Linked DNA regions of Drosophila melanogaster. The protein of the gene in region 1 interacts with the protein of each later gene in a pairwise test. Each region holds a gene or a part of one and is shown in the gene's direction. Other genes may lie near its edges. The genes, in order: PVRAP, mTTF and slgA.

Evidence for each region.
Region 2: the proteins of PVRAP (region 1) and mTTF interact in a two-hybrid assay, tested with the Drosophila melanogaster proteins (one large-scale study listed by BioGRID).
Region 3: the proteins of PVRAP (region 1) and slgA interact in a two-hybrid assay, tested with the Drosophila melanogaster proteins (one large-scale study listed by BioGRID).

Annotation. Positions count from the first base shown.
Region 1 is NT_037436.4:5,994,514-6,001,737, forward strand, and holds the start of PVRAP (PVR adaptor protein), read left to right. Parts: upstream 1-2,694; 5' UTR 2,695-3,140; intron 3,141-7,224.
Region 2 is NT_033779.5:14,345,409-14,352,116, reverse strand, and holds mTTF (mitochondrial transcription termination factor), read left to right. Parts: upstream 1-3,326; 5' UTR 3,327-3,410; coding exon 3,411-3,819; intron 3,820-3,883; coding exon 3,884-4,464; intron 4,465-4,519; coding exon 4,520-4,762; 3' UTR 4,763-4,878; downstream 4,879-6,708. Other genes in the region: l(2)34Fc (lethal (2) 34Fc), read left to right, coding at 2,337-2,408, 2,478-2,885; Send2 (spermathecal endopeptidase 2), read left to right, coding at 5,463-6,182. UniProt on the Drosophila melanogaster protein: Transcription termination factor. Binds promoter DNA and regulates mitochondrial replication and transcription.
Region 3 is NC_004354.4:21,370,772-21,378,191, forward strand, and holds the start of slgA (sluggish A), read left to right. Parts: upstream 1-3,540; 5' UTR 3,541-3,969; exon of another isoform or gene 3,970-4,050; intron 4,051-4,650; exon of another isoform or gene 4,651-4,722; intron 4,723-5,338; exon of another isoform or gene 5,339-5,348; 5' UTR 5,349-5,433; coding exon 5,434-5,895; intron 5,896-7,420. Other genes in the region: bbx (bobby sox), read left to right, coding at 22-103, 212-1,465. UniProt on the Drosophila melanogaster protein: Converts proline to delta-1-pyrroline-5-carboxylate. Involved in the conversion of proline to glutamate, which functions as a transmitter at neuromuscular junctions. Glutamate deficiency could possibly account for reduced motor activity.

The DNA of each region.
Region 1 (7,224 bases):
CACGCCCCTTGACACTTTATATTTTTTTCCTCTTCCTGAGACTGTGGGTCGCGTGAATTCTGGGTAATTACAATTTATGGTGACGCAGTTTCTCAAACGATTCTAGCATTTCCAATTCCATTCCTATTCCCATTTCGACCGGTTGAAGTGGCACCCGCAGTGCGTGTTTGTATTGCTTTTGAATCGAAACTCGATTGCGAAACAAAGGTCGAAATGTGGAGTGGCACTTGAGAGAGGGTTTCTATGCCGTTCTAGTTGCATTCCACGAACCAATAAGTAATAGTTGTGTTTTTTGTTCTTTGGCAACAAAGGAGCTCGAGAGCACCTTGCCATTAGCCAGCCCAGGGTTTCCTTTTCATGTCTGTCTAGAAAGGAGCGCTCTTAGACACTTCGTCTGCTTGGGGAGATCATTATGTATACATATATGTGCACCCTCCATCGATATGGTTACATCATCATGCGGGCAGTTGTCTTTAATTCCCATGTAACAAACAATTAAAAGAAGGCAGGCAGCGCAATATTCGGAAAAAAATTCGCCATGCATTTTCTGGCGGCGTAACGCTTCAGTGGATTAAATTAAATTCCAAGAGGGATTCACCCCAATTCCATGGGAATGAAATCCACACATACAACTCAATTAAGCTCGCTGGCAAGGGAAAAACTTAATTTTATACTTAATTGCAGCATAAACGGGGCGTGGGTGCGCGGGGTCATCGGAAAATGGTGGCGGCTAGGGAAATCAATTTTAGCCTCCGTTTGATCCTTGAAGCATATGCCCCCCGTCAATTGATAAGCAATTTTCCAATTCGCCTACAATTTCCATTTTAATAGAAAAATCCCACGCAACACGATGAACAAAAATTTCGCACTGCCAAACTGCCAAATATGATGAAAGGCCGGGTGGTGGGCGTTAAATGAAAAATGGGCGTGTTCAGCTATGTATAAAGCCAAATTCAATATACAAATTCAAATCATTCAATTATCTGCGGCTCAACGCGAAGCTCCATGGCTTTTTGCAGCGAGGGGAAAAAGTTGAATCAATTTGGCAATTGAATTTCATGGAAAGTTAGGGGCAAGCGAGTGGGAGGACTTAAACAAGTAAAATAAATGGCATTTATCAGAAACAAATCAAATTTCCGCTCGTAATGTAAGCAAAACGAGGAAAAGATACAAGAAAGATAAACAGAAATTGGCAACCAGAAGTTGGGTTTCCTTTAAATGGTTAGGCAAAGGATAAAAGCCGATAGATAAATTTGGAACTTTTCTTAACCACCTGTTTTCCCTTTTTCTTCGTGAAATATGCAAGAAAAAAAGCCTTTTTAGGCTTTTAAAATACATAATAAAATCCATAAAGGATAGAAAATGTTTGACGTAAGCCGGCGTACAACTGTGAAATGCAAATTTCAATCCGCAAAGTTTTATTCTTTTAAATTCTTTTCTGACAACTTTTTCAATAAATATATTTCTGCCAAATCAACTCAGCTCACCTGTCCCAACATTTTTCTCCATTTTTCGCGTATTCCATTTCAATTTACAGCCATTAAATCAACGCTGACTGGGGAATATACTAGTATCTATGTATATATACACGCGGATATATGCTACTAAACAATGCTGTAAATAAACAATAAAATGGATGGCATATAAAAAGAAGATTGCACGCCGGCGCTTACAGACGGAAAATCACGAAATATCCACGCGAGTTTCCATTTTTCTTAGTTGATTTTTCCTCCTTTTATTAGTCCTTTTTATACGTGTGCACGTATCGCCGTGTATCTATGAGAAATACGAGATTCCAATTTGGTACACGGCATTGGATTACATGACAACGACTTTCCACTCACTGCCGTTAATGAGTTCAACTTCGCATCGCTGACTTTTCGATTTATCCATAGGTTCTTCATTTGTGAGTTTTGAGTGTTCAGTTTCAAATTTTGCAGCTGGATTCGGACTGCTTTAAGATGCCGCCACGCCCTGCAACATGCGGTTTTGTTTGGGCTTCTTGGCCAGGTCAATCTACTGCTCGCAAAACCGCAACATGTCGCTGCTGCTTGTGGGTGTGAGCTGGGCTACTGTATCTAAATCCGTATCTGTATCTCTGTTTCTCAGTATCTCAGTATCCGCATCTGCCCATCTGCATCTCCATGCCGAGTAGTCAGTGTATCCTTAGCTAAGCCTCAGCTTAATGCGCTTGCATAAACAATGGACGACCCTCCGTATCTTCATCTCATCTCCGCATCTGTAAGCGGATTTGCCCTAATGTCATTCGACAGTCCTTTCTCCTTTTCAGATGTTTACCGGCCCTCTTTTAAGTCTCTGAAAAGTATGCACTGCTAAACGGTCGCATAATTAGATCAGCTTCGGATTTCAAACTAGTGGATGTTTGGGCGCATCAAAGGTTGCCACCGGCAAAAATCGTAATAAAATCTTATCAAATTCATGGCAGTAGGAAATGAGAAACCGTTAGCTTATGAGAAAATCAAGTTGTCACGACAACCATGCACATATGGCAGTTCTTTGAGGATTCGATTGGCAAGCCAACCACCAGTTGAATGCAGACTGGAAAGGTCCTGTCCCACTCCAGACATCCACATTCCGAGGAAATCCAGCGCATGCGCTGTTGTGGATGCCAAGTTTCGTGGCAGGATACCAAGTTTCGGGCTTAGCACAAAAATGCCAGCACATGGGGCCAGGATAAACAGTTCCTTGCGCGCTTTCAACTGCAAAGGTTGCCCCAAAAAGGCACCTAACCGTATACAACTGGCAGATGCCCAAAACTTCAACATTGTCCGAAATTCGTCGAAAGTCATAAAAACTTAACAAATCCCCCAGTTTAGCACAAAGGGTCGTTTAACTTTTAACGACGCGACGGGGTAATTTTATTGCCAGAGTCGTGGCCCGATAACAGTGATAACAAAGTAGCCGCGTTAACCAAAAAAGTTTCACACTTTCCGTGCTCGAAATCAAAAGACGTAATCGTAAAACGCGGCCAAGTGTTGCGATTTATGAGTTCACAATCGTAATTGAATTTTATGCGAAAACTTTGGCCAGTTTTCCTTTGGATTATTGTGGCAATAAGACGAAAACGCAAATAAAGGTCGTGAACATAACGAAAATTGCCGCCAAAAATTGATACTAAGGTGAGTGGGACACACGACAAATTTCATTATTGGCTCCACATCCTAAATATCCTTTGGATATACAAGTCTTGTTTGTTGGTCAATTTGGGTTTATTTTATCCCTTTGTTGGGATCAAAGTCGGCCCTTTGCATCCTTGACAAACAGTGTTAAAAAGGTCAGTAGCCTTGACTTGAAAGAATTGCATAGGCTCTTGTTTCGCTTCGCTGCCTCCGGTCCTTTCATCTTCTCTATATAATTATTCGCAGAGAGTTTTCCCCCCTCTGCATTTTGCCACCTTTTGGCACTTTGGCTGCACATCAAAATGCATTGCAAACTTTTGCCACGAAAGCTGCTACACTTTCTGGCCTCGTTCGGCTTAAAGTTATCAGCGGCAAATGGGGGTGCAACGGGCTCCAAGGATAGGAATCAACTTTTTTCGGGGTGTCGCCGTACTTCTTGGGGCAGACTTCCTGTTAAGCTGTCAACATGTTTGGAGTGAAGTGTATCAGCTTTTCCGAAAAACTTTAAATTCCTCGGGGCGTTGAAATGCACGCGAGCATGCCCGAGAAAAACGTTTCGGTGTGAATAAAGTAATATAAAACTATGCCAATTCAATGGAATGTACTGCTCTTGAAAGACTGCTTTTAAAGACCTTTTTTTATTAAAGAAACCTTTTGGTTTTCTCTGAATTCAGCAATGAGATTTCGTTGATAAGAATATGATCTTTACTTTTATAAATACTGATTTTTTAGGATATGGTAAAACTTAAAGCAATGCTAGCAGTTTAAAAGAAGGAATCCAATCAGAACGCGTCCGTTAAAAACTGTTGTCGATTTTATGGCACGATTATAAAGAAGCGCCCAAGTCGAATTACTTGCCACAGCACACTTTTGGGGTTAATATGAAGTTCTGCTGCATTAAAAAGCACTGCGGAAATTAATGAAGATAAACCCCTGGACAAACTTTGGCAATCCACTGGCTTACACTTAAATCTGTGGCATAAAAATGCACTTAAATGCAGTCACAAAATAAGATACACAAGGCCACCGCAGCGTCCTTCCACCGCCCCACGCCCACCACGTTTTCCGAACCCCTCGCCAAGCCAGCAACATTTTCCTTGAAAAGCGTCGCCAAGGAAATGTCAAGCGGCGGTTTGTTGGCCGCAGTCGCATTCGTATTCGCAGTCGACACTTCCGCAGCGGCGACAGGTGCTGCCTGTCAGCTGCATACGAACCGCGAATTTTTCACCTCACCACCCACCGCTTTTCCGCGACACTTTTCCCTCGCCGCTCTTGGCCGTGTCAAGTTAATCAGCAAGCCATGGTTTCTGCTCTCCTTTTTTTCGGTGGCTTTTCAGCATTCCATCTTTGTTTTTTTCGGTTGTGGGAAAAAAAAAATTTCACGCCCGCAACGAAAACTTTTCATTTTCAACAAGCGAGTGAGCGAGCGTTAATAAGGTATAAAAAAAGTTAGGGGAAAAAAGGCGGAATAGCAGCCTCAGACAAAAGAGCCTCATAAAAATGGAGCTTGTTTGTTTGAGCTAGAAGCGACTGCTGCTCCTACTTCTATTTTTCCCCATTTTTCTCCCTTTTTCCTGAAAACCCGTTTATTTGTTAAAGTTTGCTGGTGTTGCTCTTGGCAGTGACTTTGGCTTCTGGCTCTTGTCAAGTAGCTAAAGACAACAAAACAGAGTCTAAATGAAAATCTGCTTTTATTCCACTCACTGGCACATACGTACACGAATGAAAAAGAGTTGTCATATACAGATTTGATAAACTATAAAAAAGGGATTTAATTTTTTTATTCAGGAAATGTATGAATTTAAGTTTTGCACTTCATTTAATAAATTTCGTTATTAAGTCAACCTGTGGCTTCTTATTCAAAACGTATTTGTTGGCCTAAAGTGTACTGTAAAATAGTATTTTGTAGTAGCTTAAATCACTGTTGAAACTTATTAAAGGATCCTCGTTTTTTTCGGTGCATAAGCGCCTTGTACATGTGCCATAATTCACACTGCTGCTCAGCAAGCGGTACAACGAAAGGCTTTTAGGAGTTGTCTCATTTTTCCGCACTCTTTCACTCCTTGAACGCCTACGCCACGCCCACCTGCTGTCGCCCGGCATCGTTGACATTTTCATTCATCGTCTTGGCAACCGTAATTAAAATCGTTTTAATTTACTTTTGCCTCACACACACACACCCGCACACACTCGCACACAAATACAAGCAAACACATGCAAGCCCACGCCTTCCGTTTCCTGTGGAAAGTGTAGCACACTTATCAGCGCTTGTCTGCGTTGCCTGGTTTATGTTTATCGACTTTTGTTTAGCGGCTGATGCTGTTGCTTTTCTGCTGCTGTTATTATTTCAGTCTCTGCCCGCCGGCGGTATCCTTACCGCTTCCCCCCTCCATGCCTCTCTCCGCCACCATCGCCCTACTCATTATGTGGGCGTGCAAATTGCTGCATATTCATTTACCGTTATCTCTTTCTTGTCAAGTAAAACACACATTTTACTACAACAACAGCTGCTGCTCCGGCTGCCTCCTTCACAGCCTAGCCACGCCCCCATCCGCCACGGATAGTAACCATTGCCATCATTCTCCGCCCACTCCTCCATGTTCTTAATAACATAAACTTCTTTTCTCTCAGCGCCCGAGTTGAGTTAATGAAGAATTTCCATGACGATGTCGTTGCCCGTGAGCCCGTTATTTCACTGCGAAAATATTTACAGAAATTCATAACTTCATGTATTATATGGATTTTAAAGAAAAATGATTTCCTAAATAAACATTCAAGAATTGAAAGAAAAACATCAATGCTAAGGTTCCAATTAAGTAGTTATAAAATATTTATATTATCTTAAAAGTACTTATTTTTTCGAGTGCCAAAGCATATCTTTTTGTATCAATCTTTTGATACCACTCCTGCCACCTGCTCTGGCTCATTATATTGTTGCCTTTCGTCGAGGATGGGGATGTTCAAGTTGCCTGGGCAACAACAAAACGTCTACAAATTTGCCAGTCGCTCAGCCGCTTCAGTTGGCTTGAAGCGTATTAATTTTGCTCATAAAATGATTCCCGATAAGATTTGATCTGTGTTTGCCTTGAGACTCCTTCGCTAACCCATAGAATTTGCCAGCCTTTTGAAGTTGACTGCGCACTTGAGGAGAATGGCGAACGTTCTGTGCGGATGATTCGGAGTATGAGGTATTCACCTTTGGCTTAGTAATGAAAATTCTGCGACGGCATCATCGTCGTCGTAAGCCGCTTAAAATTGCCGAGATGATGTGTGCATATGAGTAAAATCTCTGGGGCTTAGTTGGCCCGCTATCAAAACACTCGGCAGCACTTCAAGCGGCTCGGCAACATTTCGGCACCAAAATTGCCATTTCAATGTTGCCAGCAACATGGCGCTCACACATACACATGCATATTCACGGCACATCGCTTCTGTGGGCTTGTGTCTGTGTGCGATACACCCACACACGGAGAATATTTCGGAACAGGCGCTCAGCCACGAGTGTTGGCGAACACGCACTTCGCAGAGATATTCACCCACACACGAGCACAGAATGCAGACTCACTCACTCACAGACACACTCACAACTACGTACACGTACGCACTAAGCAGGCAAACAAAATCGTCCTGGAAGTTGCCAAAGCAACGAAAAAAGCGAGAAAGCCGAGCAAAGTAAGACACTCTTTTTCGAGGACGGTGGTGGGAAGGGAGGGCAGCGGCTGGTTGAACGGGGCCAAACAAAAGCGAGATAAATAAGGAGCACACCGTACACCAACACACACACTCACACACATAGCAAGAGAAGCATCAGACATTGAAACTGTTTTCAGGAGTGTTTGTGTGTGTGAGTCGTAAAACGGTCGCGGCCTGCAGTTGAGTCCTGTCTTAAGGGCCAAAAGAGAGGCTGCTTTATGGTCATTCCCCCATCGTTTCAACCACGCTGTTGTTGTTAATTTTGACGCTGGCATAATAAAGTTGATAAAGCAGCCGCAATGCTGCCTTTGAAGATTTCGTATTTCGCCAGCACCGAAAAGTAGGCAATTATAATTTGCATACAAATGCACGCAGGAATAAGTCGTATTTC
Region 2 (6,708 bases), on another chromosome or scaffold:
ACATTTGGATTTGACAACCACAGATTGGTGAATTTTAAAAGTGTTCCCATTTGGAAAAAAGTGTAACGACACTTGATGTGGTTGTATGTTATGTTATAGGGGATACTTAAAAGTAGTAGCTTTATAATATTAAAAGTAAAGAGCATTTCAAAGTGCAGTCAGCAAATATGAAAACAATTTAAATTTAGGATAGTTTTTGAAATCTAAAGAAGAAACCCAAAAAGAATATTGAACCTGAACTATATTTAATTGACTAAACGACCGGAAACGATTTTAAACCAATTCAGATAGTTGACCTATAAGCCAAATGCTTTCCATTCAACAGCGAATTCTGATTTGCAAGTTTCTCCTTCTAATCAATACGCATTGCTAATTGGCGTGCCATTTGATTTGTGGATCTAAGTAAACACTTAGTCACTGTTTATGTCGCTTCACAAATGAAGCGTTAAAAATTCAATTTGCAAGCTCAGCTTTCGGAGCTTTCGAATTTGGCCAACTTGCTGGTATGGCAGTATAAGCTCGGCTTACAAAGTTGTCTTTGCAAAAGCTACTTCACTACTTTTGATCAGTTTTTTGGTATAAATAGGAAGTTGTTTTAGAATTTTCAGCTCATTTCAAGTTTTTCTTTTCTGCCGCTTGTGTGTGTGTATTTCTGATCGGTAGGTTTAAATGATTAAGCAATTAGTTTACTTGGCCTAAACGATTTTCAAAGTTCAGTTGATTTTTTGTGAAACAGTTGTAAAGGTTTAAAAACTTAAAGGATTTGTACTCTTCCTTTTTTTCGGGTTTTAAAGTGACTAAGCTTAATTTAGAATACATATTCTAATATGATCATTAAAAAAAAAACCTTTTCGGAAATGACATAGATAGTTTCGGTATGAATGCGAATTTCAAGCTTCAGCAGTTCTGTCCCACCAACTTGATAATAATAATATTTTCCAAGCCATTATAAATGTTGGCTAATTGAGGCCTATGGCCATAGCTCAGCGTAATGACATTAAACAACCATGTATTGAGATTTTATCTAAACAAATCGCCCAACCGGTTGGACAAAGGCCCATAAATACATAAATATACGGCTAAAAGTCGCAGAGGGAAAGAAATAAAGAAGCAAAACTTGGCTCCGACACTAACATGTCCAATATTGAACTTTAGCATATTGCAAGACAAATGGAAACTTGGCTTACGGGCCGGTCTTGACAAGGTCTTTTCGAATCCATGGCGACCCAAGTGGAGGAGGCCGACGATCAATCAGATCGGTACTTCGAACTCCACAAGCCTCCAATCCACCTTGAACCTGAGAATTCGATTTGAGGAAGTACTTAGGCTGTTGTCTTCAATTGTCACTTGTCATTTCTAGGCGATTTTTATCGCACGGTAAAAAAAAGAGTTACTCTTCTATGGAAATGTACTGCAAACTGGTTTGGCTTTAAACAGTTTTCGTTTACGTCCGAAAAACCAGTTTGATGATTTTTTAAAAATTGGTTTAATCAACATGCATCTTGGCCAATTTCAATATTGAACAAAGCTTTTGTCTGCGCCTTCTTAATTCTGCGAATCTGAAGATTTACGAGCCGATCGTGATTGAAATGTTAAGTTCACTTCGAGTGGTTTCCCGTAAATAATTAAAATGTTTTGATTGACATTTTTTTTCGGCACTAATACTGGTTATTACAAATCAGACAGTAACACTGCAGCCTAATCCACAAATCTTGTAGAATCACAGACTGTCAACAGTCAAGGCTGCAGAGAAATATACCCATTATGGCGACAACTGGGACCGAACAAACTGCATAATAAACGTTGGCGTTGACAAACTGCATAATTGGAGCTAGTTTTCAATATATTTGCGCCTGCCCACGTATACAAGTGTAAACTTTGAAAAGGAAAAAAAAAAAACTAAATAAATAAAAAACTTAAGCAAAGTCAAACTGGCCAAGGCCAGTGAAAAAAGTCTCACTTGAGTGGAAATGTTAATTAATTAATTTATGAAAAACTAGTTAACGCAATTAAGCAGCATGCACGAATCTAAAAATGTTAAACAATGACCGGCAGTAAATATATTTTAATATGTAATTGGATTCAACTTGAAAGCACTAGAAGTTGAAAGTAGAAACATTGACAAGTACTTGTGTCATTAAAACTTGTTCTGCTTAAGCATATTCGGTTATGGAAAATGGAAGGATTTCGCACACTCACTTGGTGCGCTTCGTCACTACGTGGACTGTTCTTCACAGTGATGTAGCATAATTAAGCCAACCAACTGGATTTTAATCGTTACTAAAGCGATGTTTCCAACTCATGTGATATTATTTTTAATTTTCCCTTAAACAGATATGTTCCGTTTGTTGGTTCTTGCGGCCTGCCTGGCCATCAGTGTCCACGCCTACTCCGATGGTGCTCCAAAGGTATGAACCTGCCCCATCGAAATACATGACGGATAGATTCCTTATATTCCCATCTTCATTATCCCAAAGGCCGCCTGTCGTGACCTGACGCCCCAGCACGGAGCCAAGCTGCAGGTGACCAAGCCGCCGTACAGCATCTCCGGACCCTCCCATGTGCGCTCGGATCAAAAGCTGACCCTGACGCTGGGCGGCGATGAGTTCCTTGGCTTCATGATCCAGGCACGCGATGGCCAGAACCGCGTCGTCGGCCAGTTCCAGGTGGTGGACTCCGTGCACTCGCAGACCTTGGACTGCTCCGGCAAGGACGACACCATCACCCATCTGAGTGCGCAAAAGGGCAAGCCGCTGACCGGCATCACCTTCGACTGGATTCCGCCAGCAGGCTACAAGGGCAACGTCAAGTTCATGGCCACCGTGGTGCAGACCGGATTCGTTTACTGGGTGGGTCGCGTCACAAAAGACATCGATGTGGAGTAGTGCTTGTGATAGATGTTTTCATGATTTGTTCAAAATCCTACAAGTCTTTGTTTAGCGTTAATGTTCCGATTAGCTTTGGAGCGTAGTATTTTTGAAAATAAAATCAAAAAGTTCGTTGATAAAATGGGAGTGATTTCAATTGTGGGACTCTCTGTCTAAGAATGCTTAGTAGATTTGAAAATAAATATTGGAAGTGTTTCACACTTATATTTAAAAAGTGTATGTGTATGTTATTGTGTATGAACCAGCACACTTCCTAAACATATTATGAAATCAATTGCACCTAGAAAAGTTATTATATTTTCCTAGAAAACAAATGCTAAATTTATTAAATTGCTGTTCCGAATAACGGTCATTATTTTCAAAACCGATAACGATAATTGTTTGAGTGTCGTATACTCCAGCTTTCAGTTGGCCCACTTGGTCAGCTGTTTATCGCCGCAACATATCAGCTGTTTTCCGCTTGTTTTATAAGTTGAAGAACTTTATTTTCTGTCTTGATTCTGTAAATTAAGCAAATTCGGGATGATTAGAAGCCTTCTGCGCAGCTTTGAGACGGCACTCAAGCTGCATGCCGGCTTAAATATGCACCCAATGCACTGCAGCAGGCGCCTACTCTTCTCGCAGTACGAAAACCGCGCCAGTCCGAGCAGACTGACCTCCAGTGGCACTTTAGGTAGCAACGAGGCGGAAAACGATTATGTGCCTTATCGCCAGGATCGGGAGACTGGAACCAAGACGCGGGTGCTCCTCGAAGCTCTGCGGGAACGTTTTCGCTTCACGGACGCTGAGCTCCAAAAGATAATCAGCGACGAGCTGGTGCACCGCTGCTACCGCGGTAGATCACTGACTCTGGTCATGGACACACTGCAGCTAGAGGGCGTTAGCAGGCGCAGCTTCGTGGAGTATCCTTGGCTACTGTCGCTGGACAATAGTAAGCTCATTTGCTTTATATCCTTTATGTGATTAAATCATCGGTTATTTGTTTATCTATTCAGAACGCTTGGAGCTAAAGATGCAGCTACTCAAGTCAATGGACTTTAAGGACATCAATCATTTTGTGCCTTTCCTGCGCCTCACTGTTCCACGTCTTCGAAAACTGGTGGGTGCTCTGAACTCTGAGAGGGATGCAATGCCACAGCGAAATCGTGTCTACTATATCAGCGAAAAGCTGGATGTCAGCCCCGATATTGTGAGCAAATATCTATCGAAGAGGCTGTTTATCCTGGAAATGCCGTTCGAGATGTTCGAAAAGAACCTGCAGCACATGATCGACTACAATGTGTCGCCAATAAACGTACTCAAGGATCTATGGGCCTTTCGCTATACTCCAAAGTCTGTTCAGTTGCGTTTGGAGCGCGCCAAGCGGGCGAAAAAGGACAAGATCATGCCGTGGATGGTGCGCTGCCCGGAGCCAATACTGCAGCGCTCCCTGAAGCTTTCTCTCGACGAACTGAAGGTTTTGGGAGAGTTCTCCTCCGTGGTGGAATACTTAGCGCATCGTCTTGGTTTCAGCACCAGTGAAGCCAAGGCAATCATGGACAAACATCCGCAGGTGCACACCGTGCGAGTTACCAAGGTAAGTCACAATGGGTTAACTCAAACAATCATAAGCTATACAATTTTGCCTTCAGATCAAAGAGGTGCTAGACTACCTACTCGATGAGGCCCAGTTTACCAGATTTGAGGTCGCTCAAAATCCTCGAATTCTATGCCACAGCCTGAAAACCACAAAGGAGCGCATGGAAGAACTGAAATCGCACGGTTGTCGACCCTCCTCTCTTGTAATTCTTTGCCGCAGCCGGAGGGAGTACGATAAGTTTTTGCAGAACTGGATAAGCCATGAAAGAAATCCGCAAAGTGTATCAGAAGGATGATGAACTGACGAATGACCTGATGCCATCACCGTGAAAGCTTAAAAAGTTGTTGTAAAGTTAAGATACTTTTTTCAAAAGTTTTGCCACGAAATTGAACACGATTAAAAGCCAATATTCAAAAAACGTTATTAATTACGACCAGGGGACCGCTGTTATGATGGTATCTTCATTTTTAAAGGACCCTTAACAAGTAAGGTTTCCATAATATTGTAAGGAAACCAATCAGGGAACCTTTTCGATTTCAATAGGTTTTTTAACCACCAGTCGGATTACTCGTCCTGCGGACAGAAAGTTTAGTTTGTTTAGTTTGGACGACTCTCTGCAGTCATTCTACCACTTCGGATGGCTTAATCAGTTGGAAATTTTCTTTCAACATTTATAAACGCAGAACAAACCAAATTGCAAACTTAGTTAATTAGAAAATTCCAGAAATGTTATTGCCCCTCCACATTTTCACCGTTAGCGATAAAAATTTCTTGAAAGCAAAAGGCAGCTAAATTATTTATGATGTTTATATTTAGCGAATGAAGTATTTTTCAATATTTTGATTGCTTTACAAGAATAGAGAATATTCTATATCTAGATACATAAACTATTACTGAGGTTCAAATAGAATATTGCTAACTGAGTTGTGTATAAAAGACTGGTTACTTTGGACGTGAAGCCACTGCAATTCAAAGTATCATACAAACTGGTCAAGATGTTCATCCAAAGCTTCCTGTTGCTATTGGCGCTCAATTCCCTGTCCGCAGGACCAGTAATCCGGCCGGAAGAACGCATTATCGGTGGACAACCCATTGGAATCGAGGAGGCACCATGGCAGGTGTCCATACAACGTGATGGCAAACATTTATGCGGTGGCTCCATTTACAGCGCAGATATCATCATTACTGCGGCCCATTGCGTCCAGGGCCAGGGATATCAAGTTCGGGCAGGATCCGCCTTGAAGAACTCCAATGGAAGTGTTGTCGATGTGGCCGCTATAAGGACGCATGAGGGATTAGGAAACGACATCGCCATCGTGCGGCTAAGTAAGCCACTTGAGTTCACAAACCAAGTTCAGCCCATTCCATTGGCCAAGACAAATCCCCCGCCTGGATCGATTGCCTTCGTCTCTGGCTGGGGAAGTTCTTCTTATTACTCACATCCCATCGATCTTCAAGGAGTAAACCTTTACATTCAATGGCCGTACTATTGTGGATTAACTGAACCGTCAAGAATATGCGCCGGATCTTTTGGAAGGGCGGCTTGTAAAGGAGACTCTGGTGGACCGTTGGTGTTTGACCAACAACTTGTGGGTGTTGTATCCGGGGGTACAAAGGATTGCACGTATAGTTCAATCTACACTAGTGTCCCATATTTCCGTGAATGGATCTTAAATGCTATCGATGAAATAATGTCAGCGAATCGAAACAAATAAATATTTACAATTGCACAACTAATTTTATCATTTGACTTGACTATTTCCACTATTTTGGCAACATCCCAATTTCCAACGTTTTGACACCCCCACTAGCTGAGTAATGAGTATCTGATAGTCGAATAACTCAACTCTAAATAAATTATTTCTGACAACTCGGTCACATTTATTGCAGACAGCAACTGCTTACACATTGAAATACATATATGCTTATGACATTAATAATTAATTAAAACATTTATAATTGATTTAAATATTTCTCTTAGCTAACATCTAAATACGACTTGTGCTCCATTTGAATACCATTGCGTAGTTGTACTTCAACAGAGAGTAGCAGTTTGATTTGTGACTGGCTTTAAAGCTAGAGAAGACATGGAGTAAGCGCCAACAGATTCCACAGCTTAAAAGTACAGATAAAGCTATAAATTTGAAAACCACTTCAGAGACAACATCTTCCTCGACTCGCACCATCTCGATAAGCTCGTTACACATTCAGCCTCAAAAGAAGAATCGAACTAAACGCTAA
Region 3 (7,420 bases), on another chromosome or scaffold:
CTCGTTGTTTACCTCTTTTAGTGCCATTACAAAGATACTTGGCGACTGGTGGGCCGCTCTCGACGAGCAGGAGAAACACTGCTTCACGGATCTGGCACAGCAGGTGGGGATCATACAATATTTACCCGTGCACATACTTCACTTCTGCTGAACATGCCTGCTGGGCTTTGAGTTCTATAAGTTTAGCAAGCTAATTAATTTTCTTTTGTAGAACAAGGACGCCTTCTTCAATGCTAATCCAAACTTCAAGTGGTACAAACTGCCAGCTCCGCCGCTGCGAACGCTAGCTACCCGTCCCAGCAACGCGTCTGCTGGCTTGCTCATACCCAGTGAAGATCAGCCACAGCAGCAGGTGCCGACTTCACTGCAAGTGCAGTGGGCAGAGCGAGGGGAGATGCCGCGTGCTATGCTGCGCCCCAACTACTTTAAACTGGCAGACGAAACGCAGATGGGCGAGCTAAGCTCCCTACTGCAAGTTCAAGTACAAGAAAAGGACTTCGCCCTACAGCAGGTGCTCAGCGAGACCAGCCAGTTTCTATCTGCCCATATGCCAGCTGGCAATACAAATGGGAATGGCAATAAGCGCTCCTTGCAGGACAACAACTCGAGCAACTCCAGCGAGGAGGAGGCGGCCAGTGGTAGCTCGCCAAACAAGAAGGTCAAGTCATCACGCTCCTGCAAGGGCAAGATTTACCAGGAATTGGTCAATTCCGGTCAATTGGCGGCCATAGCTAAGAAGAGCAAAGCTCGCTTGCCGCCGGCAGGTAACATGGGTGGAAACTTTGTGGACATCCCCTTGGATGCGGGACCCAATACACCGCCCGTTTCGCCACCGGAACGTCAGGGTAGCAGTCCGGATTCCATGCAAAAACATATAAGAAGCGTTTCCGAGTCAAGCAGCAGTGGTTTCTTTGATCTCGAGGAGAAAATCAAAGAGCTGCCAGCCCTCAGCTTGGACGCTTACCTGCAGCGCAAACGTAGCACCAAAAAGAAGAAGAAGTTTAGCGGCACCAAGAAACAGAGGAATTCGAACAGCACAAGTGGTGCATCAGCAACTTCGAATGTGGCAGCAGCAGATGCTGCGGCGAAAGGTGCTGTCCCATTATCTAGCGAGCAACACGTGAGGATCAAGCAGCAGCAACTGCAGGCTGTGGGAAGCCAGCGACGAAAGGCGCGCAAGGAAAGTATCACCCGGCGCGATGTTAGTGCCATTGAACAGGAGGTGGCCTCAATTCTGCCCCTGACCATCAATGGCAGCTACTACTTTAACCAGAGCGGTGCTCCCAAGGCGGTGAATGCCCCTGTAACCTCGTCGTCGGCCTCGCCACCGCTCTCTTCGAACTCCTCGTCGTCATCCTCCTCGCTCTCCTCGCAGGCGGCCTTCGACGTGACCTCCTCTACCTCAGATCTACTCATTCTGGCCGAAGTGGCCGCCAACCGCACTGAGCTGACCAAGTCCAACTAGCGCCTGCAACACCAATAACATCAGCAGCACCACTGGCTGTCCAGCATTACCACCAAATAGTTAGCCCAAATCAAAATAGCGAACTGCAAGATTGTCATACTTGGGGAAGACATATTCACATATGTATATCCTGTTGCAATAATTTGAAATTATGTTTAGATATTTAAACTATTCCCTGTTTACCTTATTATATAGTTTTTAGGAAAGCAAAAGAGCATGTCCTTAGCAGTTATTCATATCATCATTCATTACGTCAGAGCTGAGGAATAATACTTTATATTTTATTTACATACATATATAGATAGGTTTTACATGTTTTTCGGGCTATGTTGCACACATATCCAAAATATTCAGTTCATATCCGCACAACTGTGCATTAATATTCAATTGTTTTAACATTGTCGCATCAATCGAAAACCTTAAACTGAATTTGTCGCCCTTATGATAGTCTTGCGGTCAAGTTAAGCACCCATTTTCGATACTTACGATGCTTAAAGCTATTTGCTGGTGGTGCCCAATGGAGATGGAAAAACAGACATTCGTTGATCTACAATTTAGTCAATAATATTATGTAATAACAGAAAATCAAGCCAGCCGAAGAGAATGCGAGAAGAGAGTCGCGGCGATAGCGAATTATGTATTGTTTGTTATGACGGCGGTAGGAGGAGACCCGAGTCAGTTTCACACGCATATATCTATGTATATATTTGGTATTTAAATAACTTGTTCTGTTTTTTTCTTGTTAAGTTTCTCCTTTTTCGGGCCGCGTTCGCTAAGCAGCAAAATCAACAGCAGCGGTCGCTCATTAAATGTTAATTATTATTATTTCTAATATGTAGTCGTAACTTATTGCTATATTTGTCGAAACGCAAACAATTTGCAAACAAAAATATATTCATTTTAAAATGGAAACTTGGAATTTTCATTTTGAAGAGCCAATTTTGCAATATTTATCTATGAAACGCCAGTAAGTAATCAGTATACGGGAACAATTTGGTATCTATGTACGCATACATTGTGTATATTAAAAAATATGGAGTGCATATAGTTCTTGTAGTTTTTTTTTACGTTAACATGATTTCTTTGATGCCATAAATGTTTCTTAACTTTCTTACCTTTTTTCTATAAACAATTTTAAAGTAAAGTAAATTGAGACGTAAAAGGTTTTTTTTTGTTAGTGTCACAAGCCGAATCGCTTTGTTTTTAATTTTAATCAGTTTAAAAGATTTTATACGAAGTAATATGTTTGAAATTTGTAACCGAAAAAATCGCTTAAAACAAACCCAAAGGACATTTTTAGAGATCGCTGGTGTGTAGATTTGTGAGACGGCGATAACTATCGATATTTATATTATATTTATATTGCGAGCTGAAAGTAACAAATAGTTCGGATACTCAATTTTGTAACTAACAATAATTCAAACTTTTCTAAAATCCCTTCTTTCGGCACACAGCAAAAGGAAATATTTGGCTTGGGAGGGTCCGATTAGAAAGATTTAGAAAACTTATATTCATTTGGTGGCCTTATATTTGCGTAAATAGTGCAATTAAAATAAATCTGTTTGATACTTTCTTGAGTCCACGATAAGCGTTCTTTACACAGAGAAACATTTTGAATAATTTTCGTACCTGAAACTAAATTTCAAATTTTGCGAGCGTATATTTCGTATCGATATATTTCTCCAGTGATCTGGGTGTAAAGCAAGCCTGTTTGCGAGGCCAGTGTTGCAAGACGCCGGTTGTCAAGAAAGAGACAGGGAGAGAGATGAATAGAAGGAATGGTTCGTTTTTGTTGGACGCTGGTGTGGGAGTCCATTGATAAGATAAGAGCACCGAAGATTCCCGGCCAACCGCCAGGGGCCTAGATAAGCGTGCCGATTTTTATTGGGTAATAAGAGTTGACAAGATGGCGATTAATTTTCGATCGGGTTTCTTTTTTTCGCTCACGTGCAGCCCAAACAGCTGCTGGGGGTGGCCCATCCCCTTTCTGCCCCTCACCGACTGGTCCAACAATTTCTCTCAAGCTTTTTTGGACGAGCTTTCGCCGTGTTGGCCTTAATTTCGCTTCATGTGTTTCAGTTTATTCGCGAATTCAGACCCTTGCGCGTGCTCACGCTCTCTGTTGCAGCAGCAAAAACCAAAAACCCTCGAAAAGAACAACATTGACTCGAAAAAACCGAAAAATAATTATAATTGTACTTGTACTTGTGTGTCTTTTGTGAGGTGAGCAAATGCGCTGACAGAAACGGGAACTTTTCTACTTTTCTCGCAGGCTGCTGTGAGAAGTTTGTCAAACAAACACGAGTTTTTCCGAAAAACTATATTTGGCAATTCTACAAATTCTACAAAATTGTATTGTTTACCCTTATTATTGTTTTTGGGTCGTTGCTGGTTATGTATCGTAGTTTGTTTTTTTTGAAGTGACAAAACAACCGTTAAAGCAAAATTTATATCGAGCAAATAGAGGAAACCCACAAACCCAAGCGAAATTTTGCAGTGTACATGTGAGTGGCTGCGTTGTATTCGTATCATAAAAGGATCTCTACAAAGCGAGGTAGAGAGCAGTAAGCAGTGTTATATAATAGGTACAATTCGCCGCATAGCAACAAATAAGAAAAATGAAGAAAAAAAAACAAAAAAAAAAAAACCATTCAGATGAATTCGCAATTTAAGTACGGCAGCTCCCTGTTTCCCTTTAACCAAGGCGGCCAGAGCGAGACAGAACTTGATATAGCCCATAATGAAGTGTAATGAAATCTGTGCAATGAAACCCGCCAAGTTTTTTCGATTGATTGCAGCCTCCCGTCTGGCGATTATTTAGCGGGCTGCTAATTAATAAATAAAATGAAAAAGGGAAAAGGGGTTAATGGGTGGAAAACTGAGAACGAAAATTGGGGAGAATCAAGGAGAGCCGCAATTAACACCAATTAGTGTGTGCTTTCGGCGCATTTCAATTAAATCAAAACAAATTCCAAATCAAAATCAAAATCAGAAGCAAACGGGGCTGGCATGCCTGTGACGTCACACAGTCGTAGTTACAATTACGGTACAATCTCGGTTACATTTACAGTTACATAAACGGGAGCGAAGCGGCGAAAAGGATTTTCTCGCCCTCGGGTCCTTCCTCGTTTCGCTTCGTTGAATTTGCCGTCGCTTAACAACTCGCCCCATTTTCACGCGTCTTCGTCGCATTTGGTTTCGTGCTTTTGCGGCGTATACAACGCTCAAAGCGTAATAGAATAAATAATAAGAACGAAGTAAGAAGAAAACCCAAAAGACACATAATAGCGAAAGATAGATTTCTGCCCAGAAATTGACTTTTTTAATTGAACATTTCGAAGGTGTACTTGCGTACGTGTGATTGTGTTGTGCTGTTTTTTTCGGCTTCGCTCTCCCTCGCCGCCTCACGTTTTTCGCATTTGTTGTATAACATTCGGAGCGAGCGAAAGAGGGAGAGCGAAAAGCTCTCCGACAAAATCAGCTGTGATCATTGGCGTTGGCGTGGGGTTTGTGGGGGGGCAAAAAACACAATTAGGCAAAAAGTTGCAATAATAATATGTACACTGATTTTAATATTTTTATAAATTGAATTTTATTATACATTTGTTTATTATTTTTATATTAATTAGATATCATCCAATTACAATTAAATCAATTCTATATGATCTTATTGAAAATCAATGCATATTTTGAAACAGTCGTAATAATTTTGTTATATATGTACCACATTTCCACTTTTTAAAACGTTATTGTAATCGAGTTGAAAACGAGATAACCACCTTTAGTAATCTCTTCGTTACGCCACTGTCTTCCCTCAGATTCGTAGTGATTTGTAGAGATAATAGTGAAATTACCTCTGCTTTCCATTGTTTTCTTTTTGCAGCAACAACCGAGATTGGAGTGCGTTTCAATAACCGTCTCAAAAGCCGAAGAGCAGAAAGCGTAAATAAACCGCAGAATCCCTTGTAATGGCTCTACTCCGTTCGCTGAGCGCCCAACGAACAGCCATCAGTTTGGTCTACGGCCGTAATAGCAGCAAGTCGAGCAATTCCGTGGCCGTCGCCGCCTGCCGGAGTTTCCATCAGCGCGGCAGCGGGAGCACCAGCATCGCCGGAGAAGGAGCAGCATCGGAGTCCACGAGAGGAGTCAATGGAGCGCGCTTCCTGCACAGCGGCGACCGGCCGCTGCAGGCCTCCACTCTGGTCCAACCGGAGGTGGTCTCCAGCGAGACGGTGAAGCGATCGATGAAGCAGGAGTCGTCCCAGGAAAAGAACCCCTCGCCCGCTGGCTCGCCGCAGAGGGATCCCCTGGACGTGAGCTTTAATGATCCGATTGCTGCTTTCAAGAGCAAGACCACTGGAGAGCTAATACGCGCCTATCTCGTCTACATGATATGTTCCAGCGAGAAGCTGGTCGAGCACAACATGACGGTGAGTTAATCGGTGTCCCCCACTCCTCCTCTGCCGAGTCCTGCGACCTTTGACCCTTGAATTGGTCCAATCCATCGACTAGCTGAGATCTCTCTCTCTCTCTCTAGCTCTCTGTTTCTGGTTCTGTTTGCTGAGAAATCTGGGGCTCTGTTAGTACATAACCCCTGCTTAATGCTTTCTTAATATTACAATTAAGTAAGTATCGTTTTAGATAGTGACCGATTTCGAAACCATTTGTTTCAACTCTCGAAGTGTGTGCTGACTCTTCGCCTCTTCTGTCCTCTTCTGCTGCTTTCAACTTATTATAATTCATTCATTTATTTTATAAATACTTCCTTTAAAATGCTTTATTTAAATATATTCATGTACATGGATTCTTGGACACTTGAAGAGTAAACAAAAGTTATGAACAGCTAGGGCTATTGAATTCCATGTATGTATAATGTTAAAGTTGTCTGAAACTGAACGTAGAAGAATATTTAATTTTTTTGTTTGCTTCCTTTTTTCTATTCATGAATTTTTTTGTCTTATTCATGAATTTTTTCGATCCTGCCAAGCTTCCATTCGCTTGATTCCGATTTTCCGGGCAACCGAAGCCCGTGTCAGGTGGCTGGCTGCTTTCCTTCCGATTTTCCGCCCTGCTTCCGCTTTTCAATTCACCCGACCCGCAGCGAGTTTTCGTTTGCTCCCCTCGTGTTGATGAATTCCTGGCTAATTGCTTGTTGCATTTGTTGCCACTTTCTGGCAGGTGCTGCAGTCGCACAGAAGATTGAATGAGTGCCTGATTGACGGCAGGAAAAAGGGAAACTTTGGCATGCAAATTGCCGCTGCGATGGCGACCTTGCCCGGTCCGCTATTTGCTCTTAACTCGTGCGTATTTACTCAGCGAGACGTATGGATTGTGTGAACTGTGTAGGACTGCATAGTATATATAGGTCGTTATATAGTCAGGCCCCCGAATGAGCGCCAATCGGAATCGTTGGAAAACCCCTCGCATTTACCCCATTCTCGCTAGCGTGCTTCTATTTAATAGCGTCGGCGATCGTTTGATTGCTTATCGATTACTCAAAGTGCATGCGTCGCCAAGACTGTTACTTATTTATCATTTTTTCGCCCCGCTCGATGCAATTTGCATATATGGGTGGCTAAATGGACGTCACAGAGAATGTCCGCACAGCTCCCTGGGACCGTAGACATCACATCACATGTGGCATTAGTCAGACATCGACTTTGCCCACATCTCTGCACTAGAAAAAAATTGGTAAGCCATTCCTTTACCAGACTCGGCGCAATCTATTTGAAAACATCGTTTGCACAATCGATTTTGAGCGTTCTAGCATTCAATTAGTTATACTTTTGGTACTAAATATAGTGAGAACATTCTCAAGAACTGTTGCACACAGTTCAATAACACAATTGGGGTCTCATATTCGTTTGAATTTGTATCAGAGTGTACTTATTTTTTCGCCATTTCTATTTACAGTAGCGCGTCGATTGCTTTTGGGGACTGAGGAGCGGTGTGGGT